3 linked regions of the Caenorhabditis elegans genome follow. The protein of the gene in region 1 interacts with the protein of each later gene in a pairwise test. Each region holds a gene or a part of one and is shown in the gene's direction. Other genes may lie near its edges.

Evidence for each region. The genes of interacting proteins can lie anywhere in the genome.
Region 2: the proteins of moe-3 (region 1) and C17H12.2 interact in a two-hybrid assay, tested with the Caenorhabditis elegans proteins (one large-scale study listed by BioGRID).
Region 3: the proteins of moe-3 (region 1) and nhr-88 interact in a two-hybrid assay, tested with the Caenorhabditis elegans proteins (one large-scale study listed by BioGRID).

The regions. Positions count from the first base shown.
Region 1 is NC_003280.10:13,158,379-13,168,200, reverse strand, and holds moe-3 (CCCH-type zinc finger protein moe-3), read left to right. Parts: upstream 1-2,467; 5' UTR 2,468-2,545; coding exon 2,546-2,562; intron 2,563-3,979; coding exon 3,980-4,201; intron 4,202-4,743; coding exon 4,744-4,851; intron 4,852-5,176; coding exon 5,177-5,320; intron 5,321-5,588; coding exon 5,589-5,736; intron 5,737-6,018; coding exon 6,019-6,208; intron 6,209-6,278; coding exon 6,279-6,428; intron 6,429-7,406; coding exon 7,407-7,531; 3' UTR 7,532-7,786; downstream 7,787-9,822. Other genes in the region: F32A11.1 (Mitochondrial import inner membrane translocase subunit Tim21), read right to left, coding at 8,106-8,285, 9,306-9,422, 9,470-9,670. UniProt on the Caenorhabditis elegans protein: Zinc-finger protein that may play a role in oocyte maturation and fertility.
Region 2 is NC_003282.8:6,784,961-6,793,376, reverse strand, and holds C17H12.2 (Mab-21 domain-containing protein), read left to right. Parts: upstream 1-2,888; 5' UTR 2,889-2,977; intron 2,978-3,040; exon of another isoform or gene 3,041-3,262; intron 3,263-3,335; exon of another isoform or gene 3,336-3,485; intron 3,486-3,737; 5' UTR 3,738-3,755; coding exon 3,756-3,986; intron 3,987-4,030; coding exon 4,031-4,261; intron 4,262-4,307; coding exon 4,308-4,400; intron 4,401-4,454; coding exon 4,455-4,612; intron 4,613-4,662; coding exon 4,663-4,945; intron 4,946-4,987; coding exon 4,988-5,362; intron 5,363-5,561; coding exon 5,562-5,957; 3' UTR 5,958-6,588; downstream 6,589-8,416. Other genes in the region: vha-8 (V-type proton ATPase subunit E), read right to left, coding at 1,351-1,413, 1,464-1,826, 1,928-2,056, 2,154-2,279.
Region 3 is NC_003280.10:2,975,920-2,982,743, forward strand, and holds the start of nhr-88 (Nuclear hormone receptor E75), read left to right. Parts: upstream 1-2,496; 5' UTR 2,497-2,505; coding exon 2,506-2,570; intron 2,571-2,985; coding exon 2,986-3,083; intron 3,084-3,349; exon of another isoform or gene 3,350-3,424; intron 3,425-3,469; exon of another isoform or gene 3,470-3,523; intron 3,524-3,655; coding exon 3,656-4,110; intron 4,111-4,836; coding exon of another isoform or gene 4,837-4,926; exon of another isoform or gene 4,927-5,011; intron 5,012-6,824.

The DNA.
Region 1 (9,822 bases):
CGAATTTTCTGGAACTCACTAGAAATCATGCCGACTGAGAAATTAAAAAAAAAATAAATCGAAAGCTGAAAATCTGCCATGCCAGCACTCCCTTCCAAGTTCCAAAAACGGACAATTTTTTGAACCAATTTAAAAAAAGCGTTACATATTCATGCCATCACTTCTCTTTTTTTTCATTCGCATCTTCTCCATCTTGATCCAGAGAGGGGCAAGTCGATGCCGTTTCGTGTTTGTTGTATTGCCAATTGATCCTAATCGCATTGATGCAATAGTCTGGCATTGCTTCTTCTTCTTTCGGCAAAACCTTTTCATTTAGTCCGGTTCCACACGGGCCTCCTTTTTTGCCCTTTTTGCTTTAATTTTTCACTTTTTATAATGCGTGTGTGTGTGTATATCTTTTCGCTTGCCCCTCTAATACTCACTTTTGCGCATCACCATCTTTTCACTCATTACAGTGGATTTCTGAAAGAAATGGAAACGCATGTTACACTCACACCTTTCGCTAGCGTCTTCATCTCTGAATCCTTTCGTTTTCGGTCACTCAGCAAACATGTTACCTCTCTCTCTTTCTTTCTCTGTCTTTTTCTGTTCCATTTGTTACGCAATCGGAATAGAAAAGCAGTTCCAAACTGCCCGTTCTTACCCGCCCTTCCAAGTTTTCTCTCAATCATTTCCCCTTCGATTGCCTAATCTTCCAGTTTGGCTTCTTCATTTTCCCTTAACAATTTAGAATCACATTTTTCTGAGCTTCATCTAATATTTAAATTTGTGCCAAGCGTTCCTACATTGCAAATCAATTGTGTCTTTTTAGGCTCTAGCTTCAAATTTGAGCTCAGGAACAGCTGATCCATAGTTTTTAGTTTGGATCAAAACCTTCAAAACTTGTGTCTTATAAGGCGTAGGTTTGAGGTAGGCAAAAATATAGTTTTCACTTGATTTGGAGAAACTGAAAATTCTCAAAAATGTTCGTCGAATTTTATTCCGACAATTTTCAACTTACCGACAATTTTGGTGCATGTTTTCAATCTGGATTCAGTTGTTTTAAATATTTAAAATACAAGTTAATGTCTGACAAAGCAAATATAGTTATATGTATTTTTTTTTCAATTTTAATGACAAATATTGGGAGAAAATGCCACGCTAGCTCATTTTTTAGAATTTTTGGACACAAAAACATCAAAAAATTTTTGTAGAGACAATGCATATTTTACACGACCACAGCCACAGTACCCGCAAGTATTCTGATATGTATTTTGAACAATTATTCGATATTTTATGTGTTTGCAAAATTTTCCAAAAAATTGAAGCTTCTGAGTTTTAAATAGTGTCAAAAACAGGCAAGACAATTTCGAATCACTTGTAGGTGCGGTAACTGCAAATTTCAAGTTGTTTCGTAATCCGTACCAGGGGTGGGCAGCAAACGATCCGGCAAATCGGCAAACCGGCAAATTGCCGAAATTGGAAATTTCCGGCAAACCGGCAAATTGACGATTTGCAGAATTTGCCAAAAATTTTTTGCCCTTTTTTTTTTGGAAATTTCAGAACTTCAATTTCAGACAGCCGAATTAAGCACATCCTATGAATATTCCTACATTTATTTCAATAAGTAAGCAAATTCTGTTAAAATAACTAGAAAAAACGGGAAAAATTCAAAATGGCACAGTTTTAAGTGTTTACGTCCTGTAAATAATCCCTCTAGACATTTCCGGCAAATCTGATATCCGGCAAACGGCAAATCGGCAATTTGCCGAAAATGAAAATTTCCGGTAAATCGGCAAACCGGCAATTTGCCGATTTGTCGAATTTGTCGACAAATCAATTTGCCGAACCGCAATTGCCGCCCAGCCCTGATTCTATCGCATTTATTTTTGTGTCAAAAAGCAGAAAACTCCGCAACTGGGTAATTTTATATTTTATAGGGCTCCTAAACATCTTAAAGTTCTTTCAACTGGGGTTTTTGTAGGGAGCATCGCAGAATTTTGAAAATACTGGATTTTAAAATCATGTTTCTCCCTGTTCTATTACTTTTAACTGATATACCCCCTGATCCAATGATCTCCAATCAACTGATCGCAATCACATGCCCCCTCCGAACTAGCGGACACATGAATAAAAATCAGCTGTTAAGTCCATGTCGAACCCCTCGTATCTTGTGTAATAGACTGCTCACAATTCTTTTTTGTTCTTATCACCATCACATGAATTGTCATTTCTCGAGACCGGTTCTTCGCTTCTCTGCGTCTCTCGATCTCTCGCCTTATTTTCAGACCGTGTTTTTTACTTTCAAATTTCAGTTCATTTCAACTTCCCCTCTAAGTACATAACCTCTTCAAATATCAAATATTTTGTGTGTCATAGTTATGTTTAATCTTCTCTCATTTTCACTGTTCTCTCATTCTCGTTTATCCGCAACTGACCCTGAAATTTTTGTGCCCGCCGTGTTTTTCACGAATTTCACAGTTTTCAGGGGTATTGGCTGACCGCGACACATTCATCCCGTTTTTCAGATTTTTTACATATTTAATCAAGTCAGGGAAGGCGCACGATGAGCAAGGTGAAAGGGTGAGATTTTTGACGATACTTTTAGAATTTTCGAGGCTAAAATACAAATTTCCGGCAAATCGGCAAACCGGCGAATTGCTGAATTTGCCGAATTTGCCGGAAAAACGGCTTTGAAAGCTTTTTGGAAATTTTAGAATTTAAATTTTAATCGGCAAAATACTACGACTATTTTAAAAAGTAAGCAAATTCTATGAAAATATCTAAAGAAAATCGCGGAAATAATAAACATTTCTGCCGGAAATGAAAAATTCCGGCAAATCGGCAATTGTCGAAAATTTCCGGCAAATTGTGGTTTTGCACGGTTTTTTTGTTGGAAATTTCGGAATTTCAATTTTAATAGACAAAATTGCACGCATCAAAAAATCAAGGTTTTAAGTGTTTTCGTCTTATAAAAAAATCCCTTTAAACATTTTCGGCAAATCTGATATCCGGCAAGCGACAAACCGGCAAATTACCGGAATTGAAAATCTCCGTCAAAAAAAATGTGCCGACAAAAAAATTGCCGAACGGCAATTGGCCGCCTCTGTACATATATATCGACTAATTATTAAAGAAATATGAAAACATAAGAAATAGATGAAGAATTTGTCTAGTTAATAGGTAGGGAAGTAGGCACGTAGGTTTTTTGTGCCTACATGCCTATATGCATAGTGCATAGGGACAGAAAATCTGAAGTTCTAAAAAAATGCTTAAAAACTTGATTAAAAAGTGTATGATTTTGTGCCTACACAGAAAATTTGACTTTGTTTTTTTTTGTTTAATTCCAAACGCGTAAAGCTTTCAAAAATATTTGTTCTGAATATTATCCTTGCTGAAAACACTTTAAAATATATATTAAAGCTTCCTTAAAAGTTTAGTTGAAACCTCCATTTATTAAAAAAAAGTTTTAAAAAAGTTCATAACTTATTCAGTTGGTGTTCCATTGTGACATGGCTATATATTCTTGTCAAGAATATGTATATCTAATTAATAATTTTATTACCACAAAAAATTCCCTTCAAAAGTGTAAGCTGGAGCAATTTGAAAATGTGCAATTTTTAGAAATTTTTAATTTTAAAAGTCAAAGCAAAATTTTAAATAAAATTTTCATAATTGATATTAAATCAGTTTTTGTGCAATTTGTTAAAAGGTTTAATTGAAATTATTGATGCACTATATTTTACGTGTCACATTTTTTACAGCTAAAGCTGTAATTTTGAAAAAGCTTGATAAGTCTAACTAGTGAGATTAAGTGCACTATTTGTGAACAGAAGAGATAAATAAATATCCTGTTCGTTATCACTCGAACGGTTTTATCAGCCGAGATATAGTGGACAGAACAGTGACAACGCCAAAAACTGGCAATAATGATACTTCCTCCCCTCCCCATCCCAACTTTTTTGGATTATTTCATACCCACAACTTATTTATTTTCCAGAGATCTCGAAAAGTCTGACAAGCGTCCACCATCGTCCATGTCAACTGGTTCAGCTGACAGTGGTGTATTCTCATCGGGAGTTCATGCTTCATCACCTAGTCATAGTCAAGGATCATCATCGCAGAGTGGGCCACCGAGTCCTACTACTCAGTTGAACTCGTTGCTTTTTGAAACTGCTAACCTGATTGCGGTGAATGAGCAATTGAGAAAGGAAATTGCAGAGTTAGTTTTATTTTGTTGCTTGGCTCCAGTTTCTTGCGCAAGTTTTGCCCGAAAAAATTAACTTGGAATTTCGGCAATTGCCGGTTTTGGAAATTTTCGGCATTTGGCAATTCTGTGCAATTGCCGGTTTTAGAAATTATCGGCAATATTGGCAATTTCTGCATTTGCCAGTTTTAGAAATTCTCGGCAATCGGAAACTGCAGGTTTTGGATATTTTCGGCAATTGGCAATTTTGACAATAGCCGGTTCAAAAATTACATTACTTTGAGCTTGAAAAAAAAAAAGTTCATTAAAGTGCATGTTTAAGGTCCGGCAGTTCTGATTTCCGAAAACCGGCAATTCTGACGATTGCCGGTTTCGGGAGTTTTCTGCAATCGGCAAATTTGGCAGTTGCCGAAATTGCCGAAAGCAGAATTGGGCCAAATTTCGGTTAAACTTTGGGCCTAAATGTCTTGCCCAACTGTTGCCCAAGTTAACTTTTTTGTGCCAAATTTGGGCAAGAAGCTATGTTTGAAACCTAAACACCAAACACTGTTTTTCAGAAACAAGCAAATCCAGACGAACCAGATGCGAGCACTCAGATACTCCTCAAATCCAGTCGATCAGCCATTTGTAGCGAATTCGATATCACCACATCACGGGTTTCCACAGTGAGTTTTAATTATTCAAATTGTTAAACCAAAAGAAATTCAAAATCTTTTTGATTTGGAAAAAATGTGAAAAAACCAAATCAAAAACCATTGAAAAAATTCAAAGATAACGTACCAAGTTTCAACGCATGTATCTAAACTATTTTTTGTGATATCAAAAAGTTTTTAACTGCACTAATGTAGCTGATAATGTGATAAATATTTTTGTAGTTGAAAATGCTTTCATAGCGCTTAAAATAACTAAGATGTAAGGTGTCAAAGTAGTGGAAAATTTCCACAAAAAAAAACCATTTTTAGAGTTTCTCCTAATAATTACATTTTCCAGACGCCCCCCTCGCGGCGAACGGCGGATGCAAAAGCCCGAATCTTACAAGACGGTCATTTGTCAGGCATGGCTCGAGTCGAAAACATGCACTTTTGCTGAAAATTGCCGATTTGCACATGGAGAGGAAGAGCTGCGCCCGGCGAAGTGAGTTTTCAAAATTTTTGCGCATAACTTTTGGCGCAGGGGTGGACAATTTGCCGATTTGCCGGAAATTTCAATTCCGGCAATTTGCCGATTTTCGGAAAAATTCAATTCCGGAATTTTATCGATTTGCCGGAATTTCTATTCCGGCAATTTGCCGATTTGCCGGAAATTTCAATTCCGGCAGTTTACCGATTTGCCGGAAATTTCAACTCCTGCAATTTGCCGCTTTGCCTGAAATTTGACGCGCAAAAACCCTGAATATTTTCAGACTGGAATCACGACAAAACAACAAGTACAAGACGAAACTTTGTGACAAGTACACTACCACTGGACTATGCCCCTATGGCAAACGGTGTCTTTTTATTCATCCCGATAATCAGCCAAATGCATATATCAGAGCTGATAAGCTTTATGAGGTTAGTGATGGAGAGGTGGCCTAGAAAATTCAAGTCGGCTATCTTTTGAAACTAAAATGTATTATCTAGACTAGAAATTTTGGATTTTTTGCCCAAAATTGCGGTACCCGGTCTCGACACGACAATTTTTACTAGATTTTGAAACTACACTATTCTTTAAAGGCGCACACCTTATTGTATATTTGCTTCACCAACAAAAATATTTCGCGTCGAGACCAAGTACCGTACCTATGCCGCAAAAATCGCAAATTCCTGTAATTATTCAAAAACTCCAATTTTCAGGTCTCGCAGCGCCACGCACTCGCAGATTTACGGGATCACGTGGAATCACAGATTATGACAGGAAATACGAGAAACTCGTATAATCAACAGCCGCCACCGATGGGCGGTCTAGAAATGCAATCTTCACCGATGAAATCGAGTTCTGACTCCAGTCATATGCGTTCTCCAATGGCTCAGATGAATTGTGAAAGTGAGTTTTTTAAAATAATTTTTTAGAAAAAAAACAAGTTTCAATAAATTCCTTGAAATTTTTTTTTCAGCCACGCGTCCTCACCCTAGCTGGCCGTTGGAATCTTCGTCCTTTTTCTTGCCACCCGAAATGTCTTCAATCAATAATAATAATTTGATGAGCCCATTTGAGACGCCATTTCCCAACGGCTCCACGGGAATTCAACCACATTTTGTGACAGGTTAGATTTATGGGATATTACGGGAACACAAAATTCTGAGAATGCGTATTGCGCAACATATTTGACGCGCAAAGTATCTCGTAGCGAAAACTACAGTAATTCTCTAAATGACTACTGCAGCGCTTGTGTCGATTTACAGGGCACAGTCTCCTCCAGTGGAAATTTTGGTTTGTTGGCGCACTTCTCGTGCATCGCGTGCAAAATTGAGAAATTTCCGAAAACGTTCAATTTACTGTTTTTCTTCATATTTTTCATAACATAAGCTTTGGTGGAAGATTACTTTTCAAATGAACATCAAATTCCACTAGAAAAATGATGAAAAATATACGAAATATGAGAAAAACTCAATTTTTAGCGGTTTTTTCTTTTTATATCAGCGCTTTTATTTTTGAACCAAAATCAAAAATCTTTTTTTTTCCACCTTGCCCTTAATTAGCTTTACAATTGATACGTAATTAAAAAGTTTGAAATCGATTTTAAACCCGTGAAAACTGAAGGAAATCACTTTTCAACGGTAAAATTTTCCCACGCTCACGAGAAACGCGCAAGCCCCCTTGTTGGGTCATTTCCAGGAGGCTGTGCAGGGCTCTAGATTTTTGAAAAGAAATTCATTTCGAAAATCGAGCGCTACAGTAGTCATTTAAAGGATTACTGTAGTTTTCGCTGCGAGATATTTTGCGCGTCAAATATGTTGTGCAATACGCATTCTCCGAATTCTGTGTTCCCGTAATAAATTATTCCCCCATTTTTGTGTGAAATTTGTAATTTTTCTTGAAAAAACTTGTGAGCTTGAATTTCTCAAACTTGCGCGTCAAATACGAGGTACTAGGTGCAGTGAACCACAGAATCCGAATACTGTGCAAACACCGACACAAAGCGTCATATTTCACTCGCAAATTTGAAAGATCAATAATGGTTTTTTTTTTCGTGGAAAAAACACAAATTTCAATTTAAAATTAAAAAATTCCGAATTTTCAGCAAAACGGAGAGCAGCCTTTCCTCCAGTGCCTTCCAATTTCCAACAAGACGATGATAATATGTCATCAATTCCAGGATTCGACCATCTTGCAGAGGATATGGCTAAACATCTTGAATTGTGGTGACATTTTTCAGTTTTTTTTTAATTTGAAATTTGTTTGTCTTCCTTGTCTGTGAGTATTGTTCAACGATTAGTTACTAATAATATTTGAGTAGCAAGTGGTCCTAAATCCTTTTTTTTAAAGATTTTTAAATTTATAATAAAAATGGGACCACCTGATACACATCTCACTAATATTTTTTTCGCTTCTTTTTTTGAAAATTTTTTATCTCCTAATATTAATTATTTTTATTGCTCCCCCTAAATAAAGTTTTAATTTTATTTCACACAAGGGATAATACACGTTGCAAAAAGCGCAAAATCCTAAGCTTCTTTCTCTAAAAATTTTGGATGAGGTTGGTTCTTTTCTTTTTTTTTGGGAGGGAGAAACGGAATAAAACCGGAATATGGAGCAAAAAAGAGACGGGAAAAACGAAATTGATGCATACTGACTACGAAAATCAAAAAGAAAAGGCATCTAGAAAGTCGTGTGAACAATTCTGAAACAGGCAAATGTACAATTGAACGGGGACTTTTTGCAAAAAAAAAATTTGAAGGAATAAGTGAGTATTTTCGATCGAGATGCTCCGCACAGCTGCTCACTTTCCGATCCGTTGGCGGACCTTGTTGTACTTGTCCGTGAGCCGGTCCACTCCTGACGCGAATCGTCGATAGCCATTTTGCATGTGAGCAGCAATCGCCAAGACTACGTAATAGGTCTGTTGAGTCAACTTCACTCCGTAGAGAATCACGTCTTTTGTCACGTTGTAGAGCAGAACCTGAATAAAAACTGTTTTGTTTTTGAATTCAAAAATTTATCCAGAAATTTGTGCGAATTTAAGGTTTTGAAGAAATAGTATTATTTAGGGCTATAAATTCTGCTATTTCTGCGCAAAATATTACGGTATCCGGTCTCGACACGAAATATTTTCTTGAAGCGCGGAGGAAAGGTGTGCCGCTTCAAAGTGTACTGTAGTTTCAATATTTCAATGTTGCAGAATTTTTATCGACTTTTTATAGTTTTTTCCACGATTTGTCAACTCCTAATGTTTTTTCTTGTTATATTTGAGTTTTTTAATTAAAAATAATTTTTGAAAAACAATGAAAAAACCGCATCAACAAGAATTTTGAAAAAAAAAACAATTTTTGAGTTTTTGTTGATTTTTTATAGTTTTTTTTGTTAAAAAAATATATTCATTTTTTTTATTTAAAAGCTCAAATATAACGGTAAGAACACAATAAATCTTAACAAATCGTGAGGAAAACTTCGATTTTTGATTTTTATCATTTTTGTCAAAATCTATTGTGTTTTTATTGTTATATTTGAGCTTTTAAATAAATATATAATTTTTTTTAATAGAAAAACTATATTTCAAGCTTGACTAATAAGAGTTTCAAACTACAGTAACCTTTAAAGGCGCTCGCCTTTTCGCATTTGAAAAGAATTTGTCGTTACGAAACCGGGTACAGTGTGTCTGACTCAAAAATTAAAATTTTGAATTAAATTTTAAGTCTGGGTGATAATATATTTTTTTAGAATTCGTCAAAACTAAGAATACAGCACACGAGAACGATTTTTCAAGCTCATTTTTTCATTTTTTAAAAGTAATTTTTCAGTTTTTCTTTTGAAGAAAACAACAATGTGATTAAAACAGGAGAATTAATTAATTGGAATTATCTTAAACATAAACTTTGAACGAAAAAAAAAGTTTTGGAAAAGAAATTCGGCGGATTTTTTTTTGGAAATTTTCCAATTAAAAAAATTACTATTTTTGTAAATTTTCCAATAAAAAACATACCACAGCCTTGGTAATAGCGGCTGAACGAATAATTCCTGTCACTTGCGATGGGTACGACTGCACGGATTCCACCCATGTATCACGCTCCCATACTCCGACTCCTCTACGATCGGCAACCTGCAAATTAATTTATATAATTTTTTTCCAATCCGATTATTCCGCACCTTTTCACTCATAAGAAGCCTACTAATAAGCCTGGAGTAAGCCGGAATCGTCTGCAGCGACTTCAAATGCTTAACTTGATCCGGAGCTGGGACACGGGCATAGCCTCGGCGGACAACTTCCAGATTGAGATTAGTACGGCCAAATGCTGTTCTTTTGACGGTAACATCGGCGTCTACAGCGTCCGGAGCTCCTTCTACGTCCTAAATTAAAGATTTTAGGTAAAAAATGTGGGGAATTTGCTTTAAGACACGCCTATGGGGTCACAAAGACCGAATATCATTATAAAAAAATTTTAAAAAATTTTCTCTAGATTTTATATGATTTTTTGATTTTGAAAATTGAAAAATTCCTA
Region 2 (8,416 bases), on another chromosome or scaffold:
TTTGCTACCTGCGGGAGCGGTCGTTTCCGATGACCCCCGAATTAACGAGTTTCGCCTGGTGGCCGCTTACTCGTGGAGCGATTTCCAAAATTATTCGGCGCCGAGGTAAACCTACAGCCCGGAAGTGATCGTAGTCAGACTACGATGACCCCCCGAAGTCCGGAGTTTCGCATAAAGCTGGTACCCCTTGGGACCATCTCGAGTTTCGCCTGGTGGCCGCTTACTCGGGGAGCGTTTTCCAAAATTATTCGGCGCCGAGGTAAACCTACAGCCCGGAAGTGATCGTAGTCAGACTACAATGACCCCCGATTTGTGTTATGATGTGGCCACATCAGGAACTTCGAGGATTTTCATCCTCACTGAAGCCTTAACACTGTCAGTTCCCCACACTGAAGGAACTGACTGACTATTGCCCCGCGTCTTGGCACATAGCACACGGTGGCGGCGGACAAAAAGCGTGCTAGCGAGAGCCACCGCAATATTGCAAGACTTTGCCACTTCTCGTTGCTTTCAGCGACAATTTCTCATTTCCGCGGATTTCCGTCACCAATTCCTATAGTTTCTCACTATCAGTAAAGTTTTCATAAGATAAAATATCAGTTTTCCACTAAGAAACACTTGAAATTGTCTGTTATCACCGATTTTCAAAATAAAAACATCAAACATGTGTTTTTATTAGAAAAAAAATTTAAATGAATAATTCTTCAAGAATCTGGGTTCCTGAAAAATATATATATCAAATCTTGTACAGAATAATCAGTTTATTGTTTTCAATCTATTTGGATGGTGAAGGCATATAATTTATCTCGCGAGATCTCGCAACCGATGAAGTGTGATGTTCTGCGGATTTGAAATTTTTTCGATAATTCTGCAATCGGCGAATTTTTTGATTCGAATCCTGCTTCAGTCTCGAAAGAAAAAAAAATATTTTATCTACAACACAGCTCTACATGTAAAACATTTAGTAAGTGAAAACCAAGTGCAGGGTTGAAGAAAAACTATCATCGCTCATAGAAATTTATATATCTGAAAATCATTTGAAAAGAATTTCAGTGACTCATTTTGTTGTGGTAGTATTGCTTTTTTGGAATTTTTTTCTCGAAAAAAAACTGGGCGAGGGATTTAGAAATGGGCTATCACAAAATTAATATTCGACGAGAATAACATCATGGAATGTAGTTGGGCGATGAAATTACGGGGAATTTTAGGGAAATAGGTAAAATTAATTGTTAAAGGGGTCAGAAAATAGAAAGAATATACATAATTTCAGCTACTTGACGGAAAGAAGGGAATTTGGGACAAGCGACGTTGTTGGAGGTGTCAACTGGAGGAAGAGCACGAGTTGAATATTTAGTCGAAGAAAGAACGGTTTGGATTTGGACCGAAGAGAGCTGTTCTGACTTGTGGGACAATCTATAAATTTTTAAAATGTTTTTAATTTTCACAATTTCAACTCTGATTACCTGGTTAGCAATAAGCTCTAAACGGCTTTCAAGAGTAGACGACACCTTGATCTTTCCAGCACGAGCAGAAAGTTCAACTCCTCCAGCAGACTCCGATGGCAAGAAGTTTTGTTTATCGAGAACGACCTTGGTGGTGCTTCCCCACTCCTTTTGAAGTCCGTCAAGGCACTCTGGCAAAAGTTGCTCAACAAGACGAAGATCCTTCTCACGGCAACGAAGGACGACTTCCTTTTCGAGCAATTGAAGAAGTCCTTGCATGACAAGTCCCTTCAAAATAGCTGGATAACGAGCAGCATCTCCGGAAATACGGGAGAGATTCGAGCGAGCCTCGTCGAGTACGGCTCCGATGTGGTCTTCACGAGCCTGAAAATATGTTTTTAATTCAAATGTGTCCGATTCAGAACTGGTTTTCAATTTTAAGGCGATTAATGTTTTTGAAAATGTTGAGAAACGTTTTCTCTCACCTTCAAGCAACGAAGACGTCCAGCGTTGAGAGAGTTGGAGGCTTGAATTTTGCGTTGAAGCTCGACTTGTTTCTCCTTCTTCTCGAAGAATTCCATAATCTTTTGACGTTGTTGTTGAACAAGACGTCCCTGAAACAATTTGAATGAATTCATAATTTCAAGGTTTTCCGTTTTTTAGAAGAGATTTTAGTATAGTTTTAAAGGAGTAAATGTTTTAATTCCTTACTTTCTCAATGTTGAATTCTTCCTCGGCTTTAGCATCGATCTCCTCAGCCTTCTCATTGGCCTCTTGCTCAATGAAAGCCATCATGTGGCGGAGCTGCTTCTGAACGTCGTTGTCGCTGATTCCCATGGCTACAGTCGTTAGTGGTTTTCCCTGTAAATTATTTTATTAGTAAAAAGGTTTTCAGACGACAAAATAATAAAAAATCGCGAAAAATGAAAAAAAAATCATTATATTGATTTTTTGAATAGTTTGATGGAATACACAACAGTCGGAAAAAATAAAAAATTGTATTACATGATTTCATTTCGCTGAATTTGATGGTTTTAAAAATTATATATTCAAAAATCCAGATTTTGACAAGACAGGAAAAGCCATTAAAGGTTGGAGCAGATTTTTTGAAAGTAGAAAAGAAAAATACGCAATGGAATATCCAAAACTCATATTTATAACAAAACTGTAACAAAAAGTTGGTCATTGTTGATTTTTCGTCGATACCTCTCATCAATAGTTTGGTTTTCCCCGACATTGCCCACTGGAGGCCAATAATCAAGCGATCTCTGCGGCGGAGGCCAATTCTCTCTCACCATTCGTGACGAGACCAAACACATTTTGTCTATAGAGCGTGTTTGCATTTAGTTTGCCTTTTTTTGACGGTTTTCCCCGAGGGAGATTTATCTGGTTAAACAAAAGAAGCAGCAGATGAACAGAGAAGTGGAATAGAGGGTCGCATCTGGTGTCAGATAGAGATTCGTTAATTTTTTCTTATTTACTTGACCAATATTGATTGTTTTTTTTTTCATAAATACAGCAATAAGCAAAACGCGGTGGGTTTTCCTGTTTGAAGATTTTCCAGTAATAAAATAAATAATAGGGACAAAATTTTTTAATTTTCTTTTCCAGATTTTTTAAAGTTAGGAATTTAGAAAAAAACTAGCTAAAACTAACTAAAAACACAGAAAGATAAATGAATGATGGAAATAATGAATGAAAACGTTTTTATGTAAAAATAAGTTGCCAAACATCTACAGTAATCAAGAAGACGCATGAGCTCTTGAGTATGGGTTTCGCCACGAAAATAGCATCCTGCACGAAATAATTTTTTGAAAGGCGAAATCCCTACTTTTCTCCAAAGGAAACTCATGTTTTTATCAAAAGATAAACTTTATTTTATTCGAACGATGCATTTAAATAAATTTAATCGCTTTTTCAGCGTTTTTAATTTTAAAAACTGAGGGAAAAACTATAAAAATGTATGGGATACGGTAGATTCTGCAAGTTTGCGTGATGTGCCTTGCGGACAATACTTTGAAAATACTTTTTGAATTTCAAAACAGTTTCGTTTCAATCGAAATTCCCGATATCATTCGCCTCTTGAATATTTGTCGATGTTTGTTGCAATTTTAAAAGTTTAATATTTTAAATTCTAAAAAGCTGATTACTCAGCATTTTTAACGGTGCCGAACAAGCTACATGCGGGGATAATGCTTAAACAGGCAACTAACCTTGCATGCAACGCGCTTTCATGTCCGTTTTCTTGTTTTATGCCTCTTCGAAATTTCACAATACAAACAATTGATTTTTCAGGCGGATTTCCCCTCCAAAATGAGCGCCGCAATAACGTGGCGCACTTTCGTGCGTCGAATAGAAAATATGGATTTCGAAAGTAAAATGCGTATGGTTCGACGATATCCAAAACGAAGATTAGCGATAATTATTGGAGTTGTTTTATTCGTCATTTTCATCTTCTCGCGAGGAACGTCTTCCGGCACATCATTCACAAAACAGCATCAATGTTCAGCGGAAAAGTTAAAATTATGGGAAAAAGAGATTGATGTGAGTCGAATAATTAGTAATTATTCATATTTACTTTTTTTTAGGAGTTCGATACAGGAATTAACAATCAAAGCGTAGAGTTTGTGGGAAATGGATATATTGGTGTTGATTCATTCGGACAATTACGAGTTCAGGAGAAAAACCGAGTTCTCGATGTGGAAACCAATTTTTATCCCGGGCTCAACATTGAAATTGACGGACAACAACCTGTTGAGGTTACAAAAATGACGGATTTCAAAAATGGCATTTTCAAAATTCTGCGATGTTTTTCAATGGTTAGCCACGACATAATAAACTATTTATTGGACATTAATGTTTCAGGATGGCGAATGTGCATGTGTGACGTCACAGATATGGGCTCATCGAACTCGTCCAAACTATTTTGTTCAATTGATACAAGTTTCCAATCCAACTGTAATTTTATTGAAATTGATGCATTAAAATTACAAAAAGAACATTTAATTTCAGAAATCAACGGTCCGACTCAACTTGTCTCGTCTTAGTTCCAACTGGTGGGCTCATTCAAAATTAGGCGAGCTGACGGTTCATCAGCGGCAAGTTGCTAGAGCATCGTATGCTGTTGTTTGTACTGATGCACCTGGAAAAGTTTCAGTTTCACAGAAAAGGTATATTTAAAACATTAAAAAAATTAATTAATTTGTTCAGTTTATTTCAGAGAAGAGTCATTTCGGTTTACATGCTCGATTGCGTCGAAGCCAACAAGTGAAGAAGCTTCTCGGGATGCTATCCGATTTTTCCAATCAGGAAAAGACTCGAAAACTTTGGATTCGGAGCATTTTGACGGATGGAGCAAGATGCATTTAACAGGATTCAGTGTTGCGAATTCGAAAGCACCAAATACATTAAACGGAGATAGAATTAATGCAACAAAATACATTTTAATGAGCAATTTACGGGCTCCAACAATTGAGCATGGGGCTACTTTGGAATCTGTAAAGGTAATTGAATATTATTACCTAATTAAAATAGAATGTTTATAGCCTCTGGAAAATTTGGCGCGGAAAAGCGAGCTCTGCTACACTGGTCATTCAAATCTTCTCTTCCCATCACGTCTGTGGCAAGACTGGGATACTCCGACAAAACTTTTTGAGCTCGTGAATACATGGATGCTCACTTTCCAAAAACGAGGTTGCAACAATCTTTTGAGCACTGGAGCAATTGGAGCATCACAAGCATTTGTTCAATCGTTGACTGCATCGAGTTATCACGATTCTCATTTGGAAGTAGCATTGGATGCTCATGATTTGCATCGTGAAATGAATTTTCATGGAATTCCAGTTTATTCGAATATGGGTGTTGTTGGTACTATTCGAGTGGATATAAAATTGGATACGGAAAATCGTCCTTATTTTATGGTAATAGTTTATAGAATGTTTTACAACTGTAGCATAGTTTGTGGTTTCTTGTTGCTTAAATAGACTGAACTGGCCCCGAATTTCATAGTGAGACTTCTCAAAAAATGAATAAAAATCCTTGTCAAAAGAGCTGAAACACGTCTTTTATTTAAATTTTAAAAATATTTATCCTGGAAATACTCTAAACTATTTCTTTCAGGTTTCATCTTCTAGTCAATTATTTGTTTGTGATGGTGGATGCCTCGATAGCCCAGTTTCACTTGGAAAGACTCCAGTTCAATTACCAGTAAAAGTCACGAAACCAGTAACATCTCTTCTCTACATTGCTCCATCTCGACGACATCTTGAACTCCTAAGAAATGCCATTCACGTGTCGGAAGTTGGTGCAGCACCGGCACACGAAGAAGAAGTTATTGAAATGCATCGATCTGGAGAATCAACTGGAGGAATGACAACATTCTGGGTGTTCGTTTTTGTTGTCGTCGTCGCTTTTCATCTGGTTGTCGCCAAAATCGTTTGGAGCGAATGGAGAAAAGGCGATATGACACCCTATAATCCGTATTTGAGGAACCGATATTCTGCTAGGCCTCATTAGATAATTTATATTGTTTTAAAGGTGGAGTGGAGTCAACTGCTTTAAATGACAGAAAATATACCGTAACTAAAAAAAATTTTAATTTCTTTTTTGATTCTTAGACTTCGACTACTTTTTGGAGATATCCGTTTCAAATTCTCAAATTTTACTGGTTTTTCTGTAATTTTCTTTAGTGCTCTTAATTTGAGAGGTGCAAAATTGAAAAAATCATTTTTCAAAATTTAGAAAAAATGTTTATAGTTATATTCCGTCATTAGTGTCCATTTTCTGTAATTTAAAGTAAAAAAACAATTTTGACTCTACTCCACCCTTTCAATAACCCTTCTGCTCTTTTCTAGATTGTACATACAGGAAAACAAATTCCTTAATAAGGACCCTTCATATATAATTTATATACCGAATCCTTGCACATTCATATGTTTTATATATTTTCTCTCTTTTCCATTTTACATCATTTCCCTGCTACGTGTAGAGTAGGCCAAATGCCTTCAGCCTTAACTTACCTAATTTTCGTGTGTTCTTCTATGAGCCTTAACGTCCCCGAAATTTTTTTCTCTGTAAGTTATATATTTATTAAGAAATAATTATATTCAAAATGGGTATTTATGAAAGATTTTCAGAACTATTACAATTAATTCGATTTTTTTTTCTTTTTATACGGTACCAATGGTCCGGTGTTGATTATTGTGATTTTGTGTTGTTCCAGTGTTCTTGTTAATTTTTTAGAAATTTTTCTAACATTGCAATCAAAGGTTTCATCGAAAAAATTCGATTTTTTCAGTGGGAATCGAAAAACAAACATTTTCGATTTTCCGGACAACTGAAAAGCCAAAACAAATTTTGAAATTTCACCATAAAATTCAATTTTTATCAAGTAATAAAAATAAAAAAGCGAAAATTTTAAATCTTCCGATTTTTGAAAAATTCAAAAATCCGGCGCCTTTGGTTGCAATCGTGTTTTGAAAAAAGAAACCGTACACTTTTGGGGTTATTCAAGTAGTGTCGGAAAATTAAAAAGTGTAGAAAAATTACGTCACAACCTTATTCAAGTATATAAAAACATGTATTTAAATACATTTGTGACGTCACAAATGTATTTAAATACATTTTGCTACATTACTTGAATAACCCCACTTCCAATAAAAAAAAACTCCGGAAAGAAGAATTGCCACGTCATCTGTTTCTTTTTTCATCAATTAATGTTCCCTATCTTTTTTCCCTCTGTTTTCTCTCTTATTTCGGTCTCGGCGCCGCTCAAAAGCACTCGCAGAGTCGACCCAATGTAGAGAGCACACGATTCAGAGAGACTTAGACCATATGTGGCGCCAGGGCGCATTCCCTTCCTAGCACTGCGTCTCTTCAATTGGTTCAATCTCTCATAGTAATGTCCGAGAGAGAAAGAGAATTTCGCAATAGTTAGGGAACCCCCTATGGTTTTTTAAATAAGAATTTTTGAATATTTGTTAATTGCGCACTTTAATAACGACAGAGAGAACAATGCGATGTTTTTTGGCTAAACAAAATTCTAGAGAATCAAAAACGGATTCAGCCTAATTTTTTTTGGATCTAAAACGTAATCTGACATTATAAAATTTTTTATTCGAGCGATCCGTAAATTTTTCAAAAAAATCTTGGTTGCACAGGAAGACAGACGGGTGTAATTGCTATTTTCAAGCGTTTTTCAATGTTTTTTCGTTTTTCAATATTTCATGTTTTTGCAAACAATTTAGCATGAAATATTCTCACAATTTCACGAGAATAAAATTGAATAATATTCTCATTCAAAAAATAAAACTGGTTACGATTCCTAATTCTCAGTTTGAATCTAAAATGCAACGTAGGATCAATACAATTACTCAAGAGGAAATTCTAATTCGACGATAACAATTTTTTTAATTTGAAATTTCCATCAAATCTGCGCCCTACCGCTCCCTCTGTTCTCGTAGTTTCCCGCCGCTGTCCGTCCTACCAGCAAAGATCGACAGCTCCTTTTCTCTTTTCCTCTCTAACTCTCTAATGTTAGCGACCTTTGCGACGGATCGGCTTGTGTGGTGTCGGCACAGTTTGTCCCCTGTCGTTTCATTATCTGCGCTTCTCCACTCTAGTGTGCTCTCTCTCTCTCTCTAGTTGATCCCTCAAATTATTGTAAATACTCTTTTTACAGCTCTCTCTAACTACTCTAGGTGTTCCTAAGTTTCATTCAATCTATCATATTTCCTATCTTTTTGTGTCTCTGATATCTTCAGGTATGTGTATGAGTGGAGGGAATAGAATAGTAGAGAAAACAGTAAGTACATACACACATAACAGGAAGGAAGGAAAAACAATTTCAACATTTGTTTCTTTCAAATTCTTTGTTATCAGAGTTCCAGTTTCGCCTAAATCCCTGAATTCCCTTGAAACTGGAGTAGCTTCTTTGGTTTTTTTCCCAAAATGACAGAAAACAGTCTCAATACACC
Region 3 (6,824 bases), about 10 Mb from region 1:
TAATTTTCAAGAAAAACAAAAGTATTTTGACGAATATATCAGTTAACTTTTTTCTTTTTTTGCCGACACGTGACCGTATAAAATGACCCTGTAAAACAACTAAAATACCTGTTTTCGCGTCATTTGGCAAAGGATAAAAGTTGGGGGGAAACATGAACATTTCAACTTCTTCGCGTCATACTACTTTTAGTAAATTCATTTTTAGTTAGTTGTTTTTTTTAGCTATTTTGATGTCAAAGTAGGTACACGGGTACTCAGAAACTGGGAAATTTTTTTGTGGAATTAAAAAAAAAAAGAATATGGAAAACAAATTAAAAATTAAGAAAAAAAGTTTTTCAAAAAATTAAAAAAAGCTCAAAAACTTAATTTTTAAAAATATTTTTTGCATAATTTTTGTTCACTAGAAATCCTGGAAGCTTTCCTGTTTTATTCCAAAAAAATTTACAAGATTGACACCGCACAGGGTCGGTTCATTTTGAAAACTTTTACATCAAATTTTTAGAATATTTTTTTAATGATTAAACGTTATTTTGGAAAAATTTTACAAAATGAGACAAAAAAAACCAAGAAAATTGGTTTTAAAAAATTTATTATTTTTCTTCCGAATTTTCGAAATTTTTTTTCTCAAACTTGGAACTTTCATTTTTTATCAGATTTTCTTAAAAATTAGGTCATCTTCTCATTGTAATTTTCTCTACAAAATGAGCTTAACCTTCCAGAGGCTCCGCCCACTTTTCTCCCTCCACACGCCACGCTGTCCTCGTCGTGTCGCCCTCATTTTCTGCCACCACCACCACACAAGTTTGTTACTTTTCTCCGTTTTTTTCTTCTTTTTTTCCCTTCACATTTTTCTCCTTTTTCTCCTTTTCTCCACAAATTCTTTCCACCTTTTTGCCCCCCTTCTCAGCTTCTGGGGGCTCGAGCACTAAAAGGGAGAAGGTTTCGAAATGTAATGCATGTTTCCGTTCTAAACATACACATACATACACACAAACACGCACGAGACGCTAGAAAAAAATGGAGAGAAAAAAATTTCCTCTCCGCTGGCTCTCCGGAGAAAAAGAGAGCTCACCTCCACATTTTTTTGGGGGAGACAGGAAAAGAAAATGCAACATTTTATGGATCCCTGAGCATGATTTTAGTATGGAATTTGGAAAATTTGGAAAATTTTGATTTTGGGGAAGTTTTGGAATTGTTCGATTTTTTGAAAAAAAATTGCCAAAAATTGTTTTTTTTTCAAAAACTTTCCTAATTTTTGGGAGGTTTTTTTTGATTTCTCTTTAAACTTTATATGTTTCTAAAATATCTATAATTTTCAAAAAAAACCATACATTTCCTGTAAAAATCTATTTAAAAAATTATTTTTTAATTTTTCCCGATTTTTTTTTCAAATTTTTGAGATTAAAAATTACCAATTTTCTAATTTTTTTCAAAACAGAACAAAGTTGTTTCTAGTTTGAGAATTCATGACGAGAAAAAAAGAAAAAAAACGTTGGTAATTTGAGATCGACGGAAAATCTAGAACTTTTTGTTTGTTCAGATAGTTGTTTTTTTTCGAAAAAAAACTTTTTTTTCCGCAATTTTAAAAGTGATAGTTTATGTACCTTTAAAAATTAGGATATCTAAGTGTCTTTAGCCGAAGAGCAATTTTTGGTGTCAATTTCCATTTAAAAAATTTCAAAAAAAAGTCTGAAAATTTTTTTGGAAAAAGCTCTAAAAATTCGGAAAAATTCCTACAGTCCGACAATTTTCAAAATTACTCTAAAATATCTGAAAATTTTCAATTTCCCCCGAAAAATTCCCACAAAATTCCCCCATCCAACTTCTACCAGAAAATTCAGAAAACCGGTCGAACGAAATTTCCCCAATTTTCTTTTCCAATCTTTCTCCCTTTCTGCCCCCTAAAACTTTCCCCGGTTACTCTCTCTCAAAAAAAAAAACGAAAAGAAACAGAAAACATCATCTTAAAAGAGAAAACTGGTTCCTAAAAATTGATTTGGCGGGAAATTTTGTTGAGAAATTGGGGGTCAGGCCAAAATTGGACACTTACTTTTCAGTTTTGTCCGGTTGGTTTTCTTTGCGTGGTTGTCTTAGGCCTAGGCCTAGTTTCAGGCTTAGGGTTAGGCTTAGGCTTAGGCTTAGGCTTAGGTTTATATTTAGCCTTAGGCTTAGGTTTAGGCTTAGGCATAGACCAAAGTTTAGTAATCGGCTTTGGCTGAGGCTTAGGCTTAGGGTTAAGCTCAGGCTTAGGCTTATTCTTGAGCTTAGACTTAGACTTAGGCTTAGGCTTAGGCTTTAGAGCTGTTTTCCCTCTTTTTTTCTCAAGTTTTACTCAAAAATATTCTGCTCATTTTGCTCTTTTTTCTATCCCCTCCCCCTCATATCCGTCACGCTTCTCCCTTCCTTTCAAAGCATCAAAGATTTTTATTTTCTCATTTTTTACTTATTGCTCCGACTAAAAATATAATATAAAATCTCATCTTCTTTTTTTTGCAGCATCTCTATATGTTTGCTCCTTCGACGGTTTATACCTATGGACATCATGGTTCTGGAACAGACGAGGATGATGGGTGAGTGTACAGTACCCTACGGTATTCATAGTCTATCACCTACAGTACCCCTGAATCAACTACAGTGCCCATATGGTACCTAACTACAGTACCTATAGTCTAGTTTTGGTACCCCTATGGGGTCTAGCTACAGTACCCAAATAGATCATAGCTACAATACACATGTTGTACATAGCAACAGTAGTTACAGTAACCATATGGGCTGATGTACAGCACCCATATAGTTCATAGCTACAGTACACAAATGGTTCCTAGCTACAGTAATCATAAAGGAACTAAGTAGAGTTACAGTATCCATATGGTGTCAAGTTACAGTACCCCTAATCCAACTACAGTACCCGTATGGTACCTAGCTACAGTACTCACAGATTACAATTGAGATACAAAACCCCCAAAAACTTTAAAAAAATTTCAGTCAACAGGTCATGCCAGGAATGGATAATGGTGATGGGCAGTGTATGGTGTGTGGAGACAGGTCGGCTGGAAAACACTATGGAGTAATGGCTTGTTATGGTGAGTTTTTCTTTTTTTCCAATTTAGGCCTAAGCCTAAGCCTAAGGTGCTAAGCCAAAGCCCAAGCCCAAGCCTAATCCTAAGCCTAAGCCTAACCCTATGGTCTGAAGTTTATGGCCCTAAGCCTAAACCTAAGCATAAGCCTAAGCTTAATCCTAGGCCTGAGCCTAAGCCTAAGCCTAAGCCTAAGCATAAGACTAAGCCTAAGCCTAAGCTTGATCCTAGCTTTGAGCCTAAGCCTAAGCCTAAGGTCTTGAGTTTATGACCCTAGGCCTAATCCTAAGCCGAAGCCTAAGCTTAAACCTAGGCCTGAGCCTAAGCCTAAGCCTAAGCCTAAGCATAAGACTAAGCCTAAGCCTAAGCCTAATCCTAGCTTTGAGCCAAATCCTAAGCCTACGCCTGAGCCTAAGCTTAGGCTTAAGCCTAAGCCTAAGCCTGAGCTTAAACTTTGAGCTATCAAAAATCATGCAATTTATGACTTATTCATGTTTTCGACTGGAATATTTCAATAGTTTACACAACTTTTTCAAGATTCAATTTTTGAGATATCGCTCAAATTTCTAAAATTTCAGGTTGTAAGGGCTTCTTCCGCCGAACAATCCGATCCCAACAGACCTACACCTGCCGATTCACCCAAAAATGCGCCATCGACAAGGATCAACGCAACGCATGCCGTTACTGCCGGTTCCAGCGTTGCCTGACAGTTGGCATGGAGCCAGAAGCCATTCGACCGGATCGTGACGTCATCGGCAAGCAGAAGAATCCACGGAAGAAGAAGATGAAGTCCGACACGAATAGTGGAAGCATCGATGCATCCCTACCCTCACCGAATGGCTGCGATTCTCCAGTTTCCAATAATGAAGATGTTATTTTGTCATTTTTATTGGATGTTGAAGATCAGGCGACTTGCGGGAATAATCATATCACAATGCCTATTGGAATATCAATGATGATGAAGAATGACCCGGATTTCGATGTGTCCACTTTGTTCCATAGTCAATATGTCAGAAATCAGGAGAGCTTTCCGGTGAGTTGTCGGCTGCTCCTAGGTAAACTTGAAGGGAGCTTCCAGTAACCCGTGATGTGTCGGCCGTTTCTAGAAACAAGGGAAATGTCGGCTGCTTCTAGAAGCCCGGCAAATGTCGGCTGCTTCTAGAAACTAAGCAAATGTCGGCTGCTTCTAGAAACTAAGCAAATGTCGGCTGCTTCTAGAAGCCCGGCGAATGTCGGCTGTTTCTAGAAACCAGGCAAATGTCGGCTGCTTCTAGAAATTTGAAATACAGTGTGGGAAAGTTCTATAGGACCCCCCCCTAATTTGAAGGTTTGAGGAACTTCCGAAAATTTTTTTGAAAAACTGCTAATGCCATTCGTTTTTAAATTGAAAAAAACCTATATACATTTTTTTCCAGAAGTTTATCTCAAAAACTGAGGTCGCGCTGGAAAAAACGTCAAAATCCAGTGTGAAACTTCTATAGGACCCCCCGTTTTTTTTCACGATTTTTACTAAAATCAACAGATTTTGGAATTTTTGACAAAGCTCAAATCAAGTTTGAGTTAGAAATGAGTTCAGATAAGCAGTTTTGACTTTAAAAAATTAATACGAAATGTTCTCGTGGGATCTCCAGACTGGTTCTGATTCTTCCGATCTTTGATGTTCAAGTCTGTTTCAAGCTTCCTGGTGCTCTCGGTAATGCCAAAACTTGATAAACTCTCTTTAACAAGTTCCTACTAAAATTCCTAGCACGCACTTTAGATGTTTCGACTGTGTAGTCAAGCTGATTTGGCAAAATATGCAGCAGGAAACAATGGAAGGCTTATCAGGAATCAAATCGTTTTTCTTTGATTACAAGGTTCCATGGGACCAATATTTCAAGTTAAATTGTCCCTCACAGATGTTATTTACTATTTTTTGCGTGAATTATTAAATGTGGAATTGTGGCATGTGTTGTGGCACACATATAGAGGCTGGAAAGCTTACTTCGAAAGCAGTCTAACTTGCAATGCCTCGAGGATCTGCCCTTTCGGACACTGAACGCGCTCAGCTGGATGTTATGAAATTGCTCAATGTGTCCCTGCATGAAATGAGTAGGAAAATTTCCCGTTCTCGACACTGTATTCGCGTGTATCTGAAGGATCCGGTGAGCTACGGTACATCTAAAAGAGCTCCTCGTCGCAAAGCTCTCTCCGTGCGTGACGAACGAAATGTGATTCGTGCTGCCTCCAACTCCTGTAAGACGGCAAGAGATATTCGCAATGAGCTTCAATTGTCTGCTTCAAAAAGGACCATCCTCAATGTCATCAAACGATCTGGTGTAATCGTTCGTCAGAAACTTCGCCCTGCTCCGTTACTCTCTGCAGACCATAAACTCAAGCGATTGGAATTTGCTAAGAACAATATGGGAACGAATTGGAGTAAAGTGAGAATTTAAAAAAGCAAGAGTGAATAATTAGGATCATTGTTTTAGGTTGTCTTCTCCGATGAAAAGAAATTCAATCTCGATGGGCCTGACGGTTGCCGCTACTATTGGCGCGATTTGCGCAAGGAACCAATGGTTTTTTCGAGACGTAATTTTGGAGGAGGAACGGTGATGGTTTGGGGAGCGTTCACGGAGAAGAAGAAGCTTGAGATACAGTTCGTCAGTAGCAAGATGAACAGCACTGACTATCAGAACGTCTTGGAACTGGAGCTCTCCAAATATCTTCGTCACTACTCCAGAAAAGACTTTAGATTTCAGCAGGATAATGCGACAATCCATGTGAGCAACTCAACCCGCGACTATTTCAAGCTCAAGAAGATCAACCTTCTTGATTGGCCAGCTCGAAGTCCTGATCTCAATCCAATCGAAAATTTGTGGGGGATTCTTGTCCGTATCGTGTATGCTCAGAACAAGACTTACCCAACAGTTGCATCGTTGAAGCAAGGAATTCTCGACGCTTGGAAGTCTATTCCGGACAACCAGCTGAAAAGTTTGGTCAGATCAATGGAGGACAGACTGTTTGAGAACATCCGCACACAAGGAAACCCGATTAACTATTGATCCTTTCTTGATTTTAGTATATGAATGTTCTGTTGTTGATCAAAAATAACTGCAACTTGTTAATACGCTGTTTCTGACTGGTTTCTTGGGGATGGCGTAAAAATGTTTATGGTGTGTGTGCTAGGAATTTTAGTAGGAACTTGTTAAAGAGAGTTTATCAAGTTTTGGCATTACCGAGAGCACCAGGAAGCTTGAAACAGACTTGAACATCAAAGATCGGAAGAATCAGAACCAGTCTGGAGATCCCACGAGAACATTTCGTATTAATTTTTTAAAGTCAAAACTGCTTATCTGAACTCATTTCTAACTCAAACTTGATTTGAGCTTTGTCAAAAATTCCAAAATCTGTTGATTTTAGTAAAAATCGTGAAAAAAAACGGGGGGTCCTATAGAAGTTTCACACTGGATTTTGACGTTTTTTCCAGCGCGACCTCAGTTTTTGAGATAAACTTCTGGAAAAAAATGTATATAGGTTTTTTTCAATTTAAAAACGAATGGCATTAGCAGTTTTTCAAAAAAATTTTCGGAAGTTCCTCAAACCTTCAAATTAGGGGGGGTCCTATAGAACTTTCCCACACTGTATGTCGGCCGCTTCTAGAAACCAGGCAAATGTCGGCTGCTTCTGAAAACTTGAAATATGTCGGCCGCTAACTAGAAACACGACAAATGTCGGCTGCTTCTAAAAACCCGGCAAATGTCGGCT